Linked DNA regions of Macaca mulatta. The main gene of each other region encodes a partner of the protein of the gene in region 2 in a complex. Links are inferred from orthologs where the notes say so. Each region holds a gene or a part of one and is shown on either strand. Other genes may lie near its edges. The genes, in order: IRAK4 and IRAK2.

Evidence for each region.
Region 1: the proteins of IRAK2 (region 2) and IRAK4 are in contact, whole or in part, in a crystal structure (PDB 3MOP), measured with the Homo sapiens proteins. The link is inferred for Macaca mulatta from reciprocal best matches to the Homo sapiens genes IRAK2 and IRAK4. Residues at the interface, in NP_001561.3 of Homo sapiens: Tyr6, Ile36, Lys44, Met48, Glu59, Trp62, Trp63, Trp64, Gly65, Met66, Arg67, Gln68, Ala69, Gln73; in NP_001107654.1 of Homo sapiens: Asp24, Phe25, Pro28, Gln29, Lys34, Glu92, Phe93, Phe94, Ala95, Pro96, Ser98, Val105.

What each region holds. Positions count from the first base shown.
Region 1 is NC_133416.1:50,785,290-50,789,042, reverse strand, and holds the end of IRAK4 (interleukin-1 receptor-associated kinase 4), read right to left. Parts: intron 3,637-3,753; coding exon 3,574-3,636; intron 892-3,573; coding exon 733-891; intron 609-732; coding exon 573-608; 3' UTR 518-572; downstream 1-517.
Region 2 is NC_133407.1:149,069,321-149,073,142, reverse strand, and holds part of IRAK2 (interleukin-1 receptor-associated kinase-like 2), read right to left. Parts: intron 3,133-3,822; coding exon 2,937-3,132; intron 1-2,936. UniProt on the Homo sapiens protein: Binds to the IL-1 type I receptor following IL-1 engagement, triggering intracellular signaling cascades leading to transcriptional up-regulation and mRNA stabilization.

The DNA.
Region 1 (3,753 bases), on a different chromosome or scaffold from region 2:
TCTGTAATTTTCAAACTGTGTTTGATGCTTGGAGATATCTCAGGGATTACTGTAAGAACTGGGTGTGATACTAATGGGTAGGGCTAAGTGTTGATATGGTGGCTCTATTTTTATATGTTGGAAGTTCAACCCATGCTTTAATAACCACTGCCCTGCAACAGCCTGCACCTTGTTAAAGGTAAAGAAGAATATTTGGGAAAAAAATTAGTTAAAAAAATGGTTGAGGCCAGGCGTGGTGGCTCACGCCTGTAATCCCAGCACTTTGGGAGGCCGAGGCGGGGGGATCATGAGGTCAGGAGATCGAGACCATCCTGGCTAACACGGTGAAACCCCGTCTCTACTAAAAAAAAAAAAAAATTGCCGGGCGTGGTGGTGGATGCCTGTAGTTCCAGCTACTTGGAAGGCTGAGGCAGGAGAATGGCGTGAACCCGGGAGGTGGAGCTTGCAGTGAGCCGAGATCACGCCACTGCACTCCAGCCTGGGCAACAGAGCGAGATTCCATCTCAAATTAAAAAAAAAAAAAATGGTTGAGATAGGTGTATATAAAAAGTCAAGAGTCTATTCCAATAGTTTTAAGAATCTGTCATCTCTTGCAGCAGCTGTTGAACCTTATAAAAAGACATAGAAAAAAACAAAAGAACCACATTATACACTTGCTTTAAAATATACACTCTGGAAAATATGATGAACCCCACCCCTTTCACTTTTTAAATAAATAAACAAAATTCATACCTTCTTAATGTCTGGTCTCTTATTTTTCTTTTCATGCAGACATTGACTAGCAACAGAGTACATAGCTTCAACTGAAGTGGAATCAGCATCATTCATCTTTTTATCAATATAATCTTCAATCGTCTTTTCTTCATCTTCAATTTCTTCTTTAATATCTAGCTTTAAAATGAGTGTTAAAACTTTACGAGCTTCAAATCAAAGTGAAGGAAATTAGAATGTATATTTTAATTATTTAAATTAATCTACTTTGTAATAACATGTACTCTCATTTTACTATCTTATCTTAAAACCTTATTAAGAATTCAAGACCCAGCCTGGGCAACATGGTGAAACCCTGTTTCTACTAAAAATACAAAAAATTAGCCAGGCGTGGTGGTGTGCACCTGTAATCTTAGCTACTCGGGAGGCTGACACAGGGGAATCGTCTGAACCCAGGAGGCAGAGATTGCAGTGAGCCGAAATTGCGCCACTGCACTACTCCAGCCTGGGTGACAGAGCGAGACTCTGTCTCCAAAACCAAAACAAAACAAACAAACAAAAAAACAAGACATACAGGACAAATTCTATGTAAATAAGTACATCCATCCACCACAAAATGACATTTTGGTCAACTGGTCAATGACAGACCACATATAGATGGTGGTCCCATAAGATTATAATACCATATTTTTACTGTACCTCTTTTATGTTTACATACATAAATACTTACCATTGTGTTACAATTGCTTACAGTATTCAGGACAGTATTATGCTGTACAGCATATGTTTGTAGCCTAGGAGCAATACCATACAGCCCAGGTGTGTAGTAGGTCACATCATCTAGGTTTGTGTAAGTACACTCTATGAGGTTCACACAATGAAACTGCCTAACAACGCATTTCTCGGAACATATTCCTGTCATTTGGCAACACATGACGGGGTGTGTGTGTGTGTGTGTGTGTGTGTGTGTGTGTGTGTGTGTAATATAAATGTATATTTATTTATACCTTCTAGATACTTCCACCCATCTGCCTTCCAATTTTTATATTTATGTTATGAGCTAATTGCTTATATGTTTCCATTAGCAGCATTTACTAGGTGGGCAGCACAGCGTGGTCTGCTTCTTGATGTGCTTCTAATAGCGCAACTCCAATTTTTTGGACCCTGACTCCTCCTCCCTGTACCCAATAAACTTCTCTATGGGTACTAAGATTGTTGAATCAAAGAGAAAAAGGGAGGGGAAAAATGGGGAGCAGGCCATGATAAAAAAAAAGAATTAACAGAAAGAGAAGTGTAGGAATAAGATAGTAAGTTGGGTGAATCATGGTCTCCCAAAACATGTCTATGCCATAATTTCTGGAATCTGTAAATGTCCTCTTATTAGGAAAAGAAGGGCCTTTTTAGATGTAATTAAGTATCCTGAGATGAGAATATTCCAGATTATAGATAATCCTGGAGGTAAGCCCCACATCCAACGAGCAAGGCAAGATTCTCTCTGGAGCCTCCAGAGAGAGCATAGTCTTGCCAATACCTTGATTTCAGACTCTGGCCTCCAGAACTACGAGCAAATAAATTTCTGTTGCTTTAAGTCACACAGTTTTTGGTACATTTTTACAACAGTCCTGGGAAACTAATACAGATGAAAAAAACTATTCATGAGAGGTAAACTCTTCAAAAACACTTTCAAAAGATAAATTCTGAAAATGTTTGGCCATGGCAGAATCTAGTAACATAAGGGTTCTTCAAAGGATCATTTTTTTTTTAACTGTGCTTGTACAAAAATCTTATTACTTTAGAGTCACATCACAGTCAAACCTTAAGAATGGGTGAAAGAGTGTAATTCTCCAAAGATTTGTGATTTTCACTATTATATGATGAAACACAAAACTTGTGACTGAGATAGAGCTTATGTTTTTCTGCATTTCATCCTTACTCAAGCCAAAGTTTTGAGGCTTTTATATATTTTGAAAGAAAAAGCCTTAGGCAAAATGATGGAAAACTTAGGTAAAGTATATGCTGCATGCAAGTTAGTGAATCAATCTGGGTTCAATCTTGAGCCCTCCATACCCACAGAGGAGGTCATAGGAACTCCAACTTGAAGGCAGTTGGTCAGAAGTTCTGGAGGCCTAAACTTGCGACTGGTGTCTGGTGGGATCACAGTCTCAGGGACTGAGCCCTTAACCTGTGGGATCTGATTCTGATGCTATCTCTAGGAACATAGTGTCAGAATTAAATTGGAGGAGATGCAGCTGACTTTCGCTGCAAAGTAGACTGCCTGCTTGTTGGTGGAGAGAAATCCTCCCCACTCACATTTGGTCACAGAAATCTTCTGTGTTGATTGTTGCTGTGGTATGAGAGCAAAGGAAATACATGATTTGAGTTTTTCCTAACAATAGCAAATTTGGTATGTTTTTTATTGTAACTTTGTAAATAAAATACTCCATGATAGAAATAAGTAGAGAACTTTTACTAGCAATTTTATTCTGAGAGAAATTTGAACGGAAGCCATTTTTTTCCTTTCTGAAAATGTTGAAAACACTGTTATTAAGAGTAGCCACCCTGAAAGTAACAAAATAAACATAAGCTAAAGAGGACCTCAGAAATCATTTAGTTCTATTTTCATTTTACCCACAAAGAAATCAGAACAAAGAATATGTAAGTGACTTTTCTAGGCTTCACACATACTTCATGGGAGAGCTGAGAATGAAAAATATTTAATGCTTTTTCCATATGCTATTGTGTAATAGCCAATGGAAAGACTGCCAACAGAAAATGTTATTTCTAGATGTCAAATTTATCCATATAAATTTAGACTACAAAAGCAGAGAAAAAAGGATTGAGGAAAACGAATATTTCAATTACCAATAACTGAGGTTCACGGTGTTCATCCACGGCTGGAAGTCCAGTTATTATTTCTAGTAAAACCTATTAAGACAAAAAAATTTCATTAATATAATACACAAGACAGGCTGGGCATGGTGGCTAACGCCTGTAATCCCAGCACTCTGGGAGACAGATGTGGCAGGATAACTTGAGCCCAGG
Region 2 (3,822 bases):
GGCCTTTCCTAACATTATTCATTAGTGCAGCCACTCGCACAAGGAGCACAGCCCTGTATACATGTAAGTCACCAGAAAATTGGCAAACCATGATATATGTCTTCATAAACAGGAAACCTGCTTTGAACAGGGTTTCTCAGTAGAGACAATGCCATGATGGTTAAGGGCTCTACAGTCAGGCCTGAGTTCAAATTCTGACTCTGTTCCTTACATGCTCAGGTGATCTTTAGGCAAGTAACTAAAACCTGAGCCTCAGTGTCCTCATCTGTTAAATGGGGACTAGCAGTTGTGAATATTAAAGGTGTGAATACCACACACTTAGTGTGGAATCTCTCTCCCACAGCATCTCTCGAAGCAAGTCAGAATAGGGTCACATTTATAGCCAAGAATCCCTCCAAGCCTGGAGGAAAAAGGATAAAGGTTTGAAACCACCCAGGATTAATAACAGACTGGCAGTGACCAGAAGAGGGCAGCAGAGGGCATCACTGCTGCAAGTGGGACAGGAGCCAATTGAAAAGGGACTCCTGACAGGTCCCTGCCAGGAAGGGATGGAACAAGGGGAAATGAATAAACAAAGATTTCCTGTGCCCCTTTCACAGGGCAGGCTCTGAGCCAAGTCCTTTATAGAGGTCACTGAGCACTCACCAAAAAACACTGAGCAATGCACTGTGCTGCCCACAGGAGAAGTCAAAGTTCAAAATCATTTCAGTCAACCAGAGGCAGGGCTGAGCAAAAGGGTGGCAGGAGACAGGGGGCATTCAATGAATGAATGGACGGATGGGTGGTAGATGAATGGATGGATGGGTGAATGTGTGGGTAGGTGGATAAATGGGTGGATGGATGGGTGGGTGGGTGGCTGGGAGGGTAGGAGGGAGGGTGGGTACATGGGTGGACAGGTGGGTAGGTGGATGGGTGAGTGGGTGCAAGGGTGGGTGCGTGGGTGGATGAGCGGGAGAGTGAATGGATGGATGAGGAAGTCACCTGTGACACTAACACACTGGTTAGAGGGTCAAGAGTAAACAGATATCAGAAGGAGGGTGTAAAGGTGGGAATAACAATAACCACAGTCATCATAATATTCTTGGTAGGTGCAGGGTGCAAGGTACCATGCTCACCTGCTTACATATATTATCCCATTTGTCTCCATGTATATCGTTAGCCCCATCTTACAGAAAGCATAACTGAGGCCCAGAGACAGAGGTGCTGGGTGTAGGTCACACAGCTGAAGGTAACTGAGCTGGGCCTAGGGGTTCCATCCCCCAGTTCTTTTCTTTTTTTTTTTTTTTTAGACAGAGTCTGGCTCTTTTGCCCAGCCTGGAGTACAATAGTATGATCTTGGCTCACTGCAACCTCGGCCTCCCAAAGTACTGAGATTTCAGGCGTATGCCACCACTCCCTGCCCATCCACCTGGTTCTTTTTTTTTTGTTTTTTTTTTTTTGTTTTTTGTTTTTTTTTTGAGACGGAGTCTCGCTCTGTCGCCCAGGCTGGAGTGCAGTGGCGTGATCTCGGCTCACTGCAAGCTCCGCCTCCTGGGTTTACGCCATTCTCCTGCCTCAGCCTCCCGAGTAGCTGGGCCTACAGGCGCCCGCCACCGCGCCCGGCTAATTTTTTGTATTTTTAGTAGAGACAGGGTTTCACCGTGGTCTCGATCTCCTGACCTTGTGATCCGCCCGCCTCGGCCTCCCAAAGTGCTGGGATTACAGGCGTGAGCCACCGCGCCCGGCCCCACCTGGTTCTTAAAGGAGCAGGAGCCTGGACTAGCCCTGCTGAGCTTCACTGAACAACTCGCAGTGGGGCTGAGGGAGGCAGAGGAACCTGCTGGGAGACACAGGGGTACAGAATCTGGGGTTCTTGCTGAGGGCAGAGGTGACTCAGGGCCACGGTTCTAGTGGCAGAGGTAGACAGGAGACTGTGGTCAGAGAGAGGAAGTACAGAGTTCAAGGCTAGAGAAGAAGAGAGGGTGAGGCCCACAGGGCAGCTGTATGCACTTGGCTGAAGCCAACCTGACTGTCATTCTTCTCAGCAGCATTTCCCAGACTGGGTTCCATGGAACACTGACGAGGACAGATATTCTGAGAAAACAAGGTTCCACAGTCAAATGAGCTTGGGAAACACTGCATACCCCTCTCTGGTGAATTCACAAGTCCCAGATTAAAGGCTCATTACCATCCTACCAGCTTGAATTAATCTTGTGGTAAAGAAACCTGCTTGGCTTTGCCTAATGCAATATTTCCAAGCCTGTCAAGGCATAAACCTTTTAACCCACCAATCCTAGAGATCCAAAGGAATTGGAGTTCTACAGAAATATACTCTGTAGACTGCTACACGCAGACCATGAGCTCCTGAGGGGAGGGCTGTGTTTTCGTTACATTCATATTCCTAGTGCCTGGCACAACACAATGGCAGACAAGGATGGTGGTGGTGGCAGGATGGGATGCTGGGTGGGTCAACGGTCGCTGAATGGATGGGCAGCTAAAGAGTGGATGGATGATCGGACAGCGATGAACAAATAAGGACAAATAGACAATTGGATGGACAGGTGGATGGCTGATGGGAATAGGGAAGTCAGGAGAGGATATCTGGAGCCTACTAGAACCTGGATACTCATGAGCGGTTTTCCTTCAAGGGCTGGCAAATTTCTTCTGTAACAGGCCACACAGTAAATATGTGAGATTTTGTGGGGCATGTTCAGTCTCTATCACATATTCTTTGGTTTAAAAATATAATCCTTTATAAATGTAGAACTACTCTTAGCTCACAGACCACACAAAATAGGCCACAGGCCAGAGTGGCCTGTGGGCCACGGTTTGACAGCCCCTGCTGAACTTTGATGGAACCCGTCTGTGTGCCTCTACCGTATCCTGTGATTACAAAGGAGCTGTGGGAAGGACAAATCAGGGCGGGCCCCAGTCTAAGCAGAGAAGGACGCTCTTACTATTCCACAGCTGAAGATGTCCACTCGCTTCGTCAGCTGCCCCACCCGGATGAAATCCTCTGGCAGATACGCAACTGACGCCTGGAACAGGTGAGTCTTCATCACGGTGTATTTTGACCTTTTGTTGACAGGACACAGGTGAGCCATTGGGTGAGCAAGCTTGGGGGTGAGATTTTGGTCCAGCAAGACATTAGAGCTGTGGAAACGAAAGGGGAGAGAACCTTCTCATTTTGAGCTGGATAACAACAGGTTGCCATGGAGACCCTTTGGGGAGACAATATAGTGGCAGAGCAACATCGGCTCCTGCAAGTTGAGGTCTCTAAAGACCCTCAGCATGGAGCTTCTGAGGCAGCCCTGACTGGGGAAGAGAGGACATCAGGAGCATACTCCCTCCAGCAAATGGAGATGGAGTTCAGAATTAGTCTTGCTGCCCCAGGAATGTGGCCAAAGAAGTGCAGCCTCCCTAATTCCCACAGACGCCAACCCTGATCAGCCTCAGCTTGCCAAGCCTATAGGTTGTGCAGACTCGGTCTCTTCCACAACTGTTCCAACCCCCAGCTCTGGCATGGCTGACTCAGGTCTAAGTGGCCAGCATCCTTTGTGACTAAACCTGCCCCAGATCATGTTAAAAAAAAAAAAAATCCCTCTTAGCCAGGCACAGTGGCTCATGCCTGTAATCCCAGCACTTTGGGAGGCAGAGATGGGCAGATCACCTGAGGTCAGGAGTTCAAGACCAGCCTGGCCAACATGCTGAAACTCCATCTCTACCAAAAATACAAAAATTAGCCAGGTGTGGTGGTAGGCGCCTGTAGTCCCAGCTACTCAGGAGGCTGAGGCAGGAGAATCGCTTGAACCCAGGAGGCAGAGGTGCACTCCAGCCTGGGCA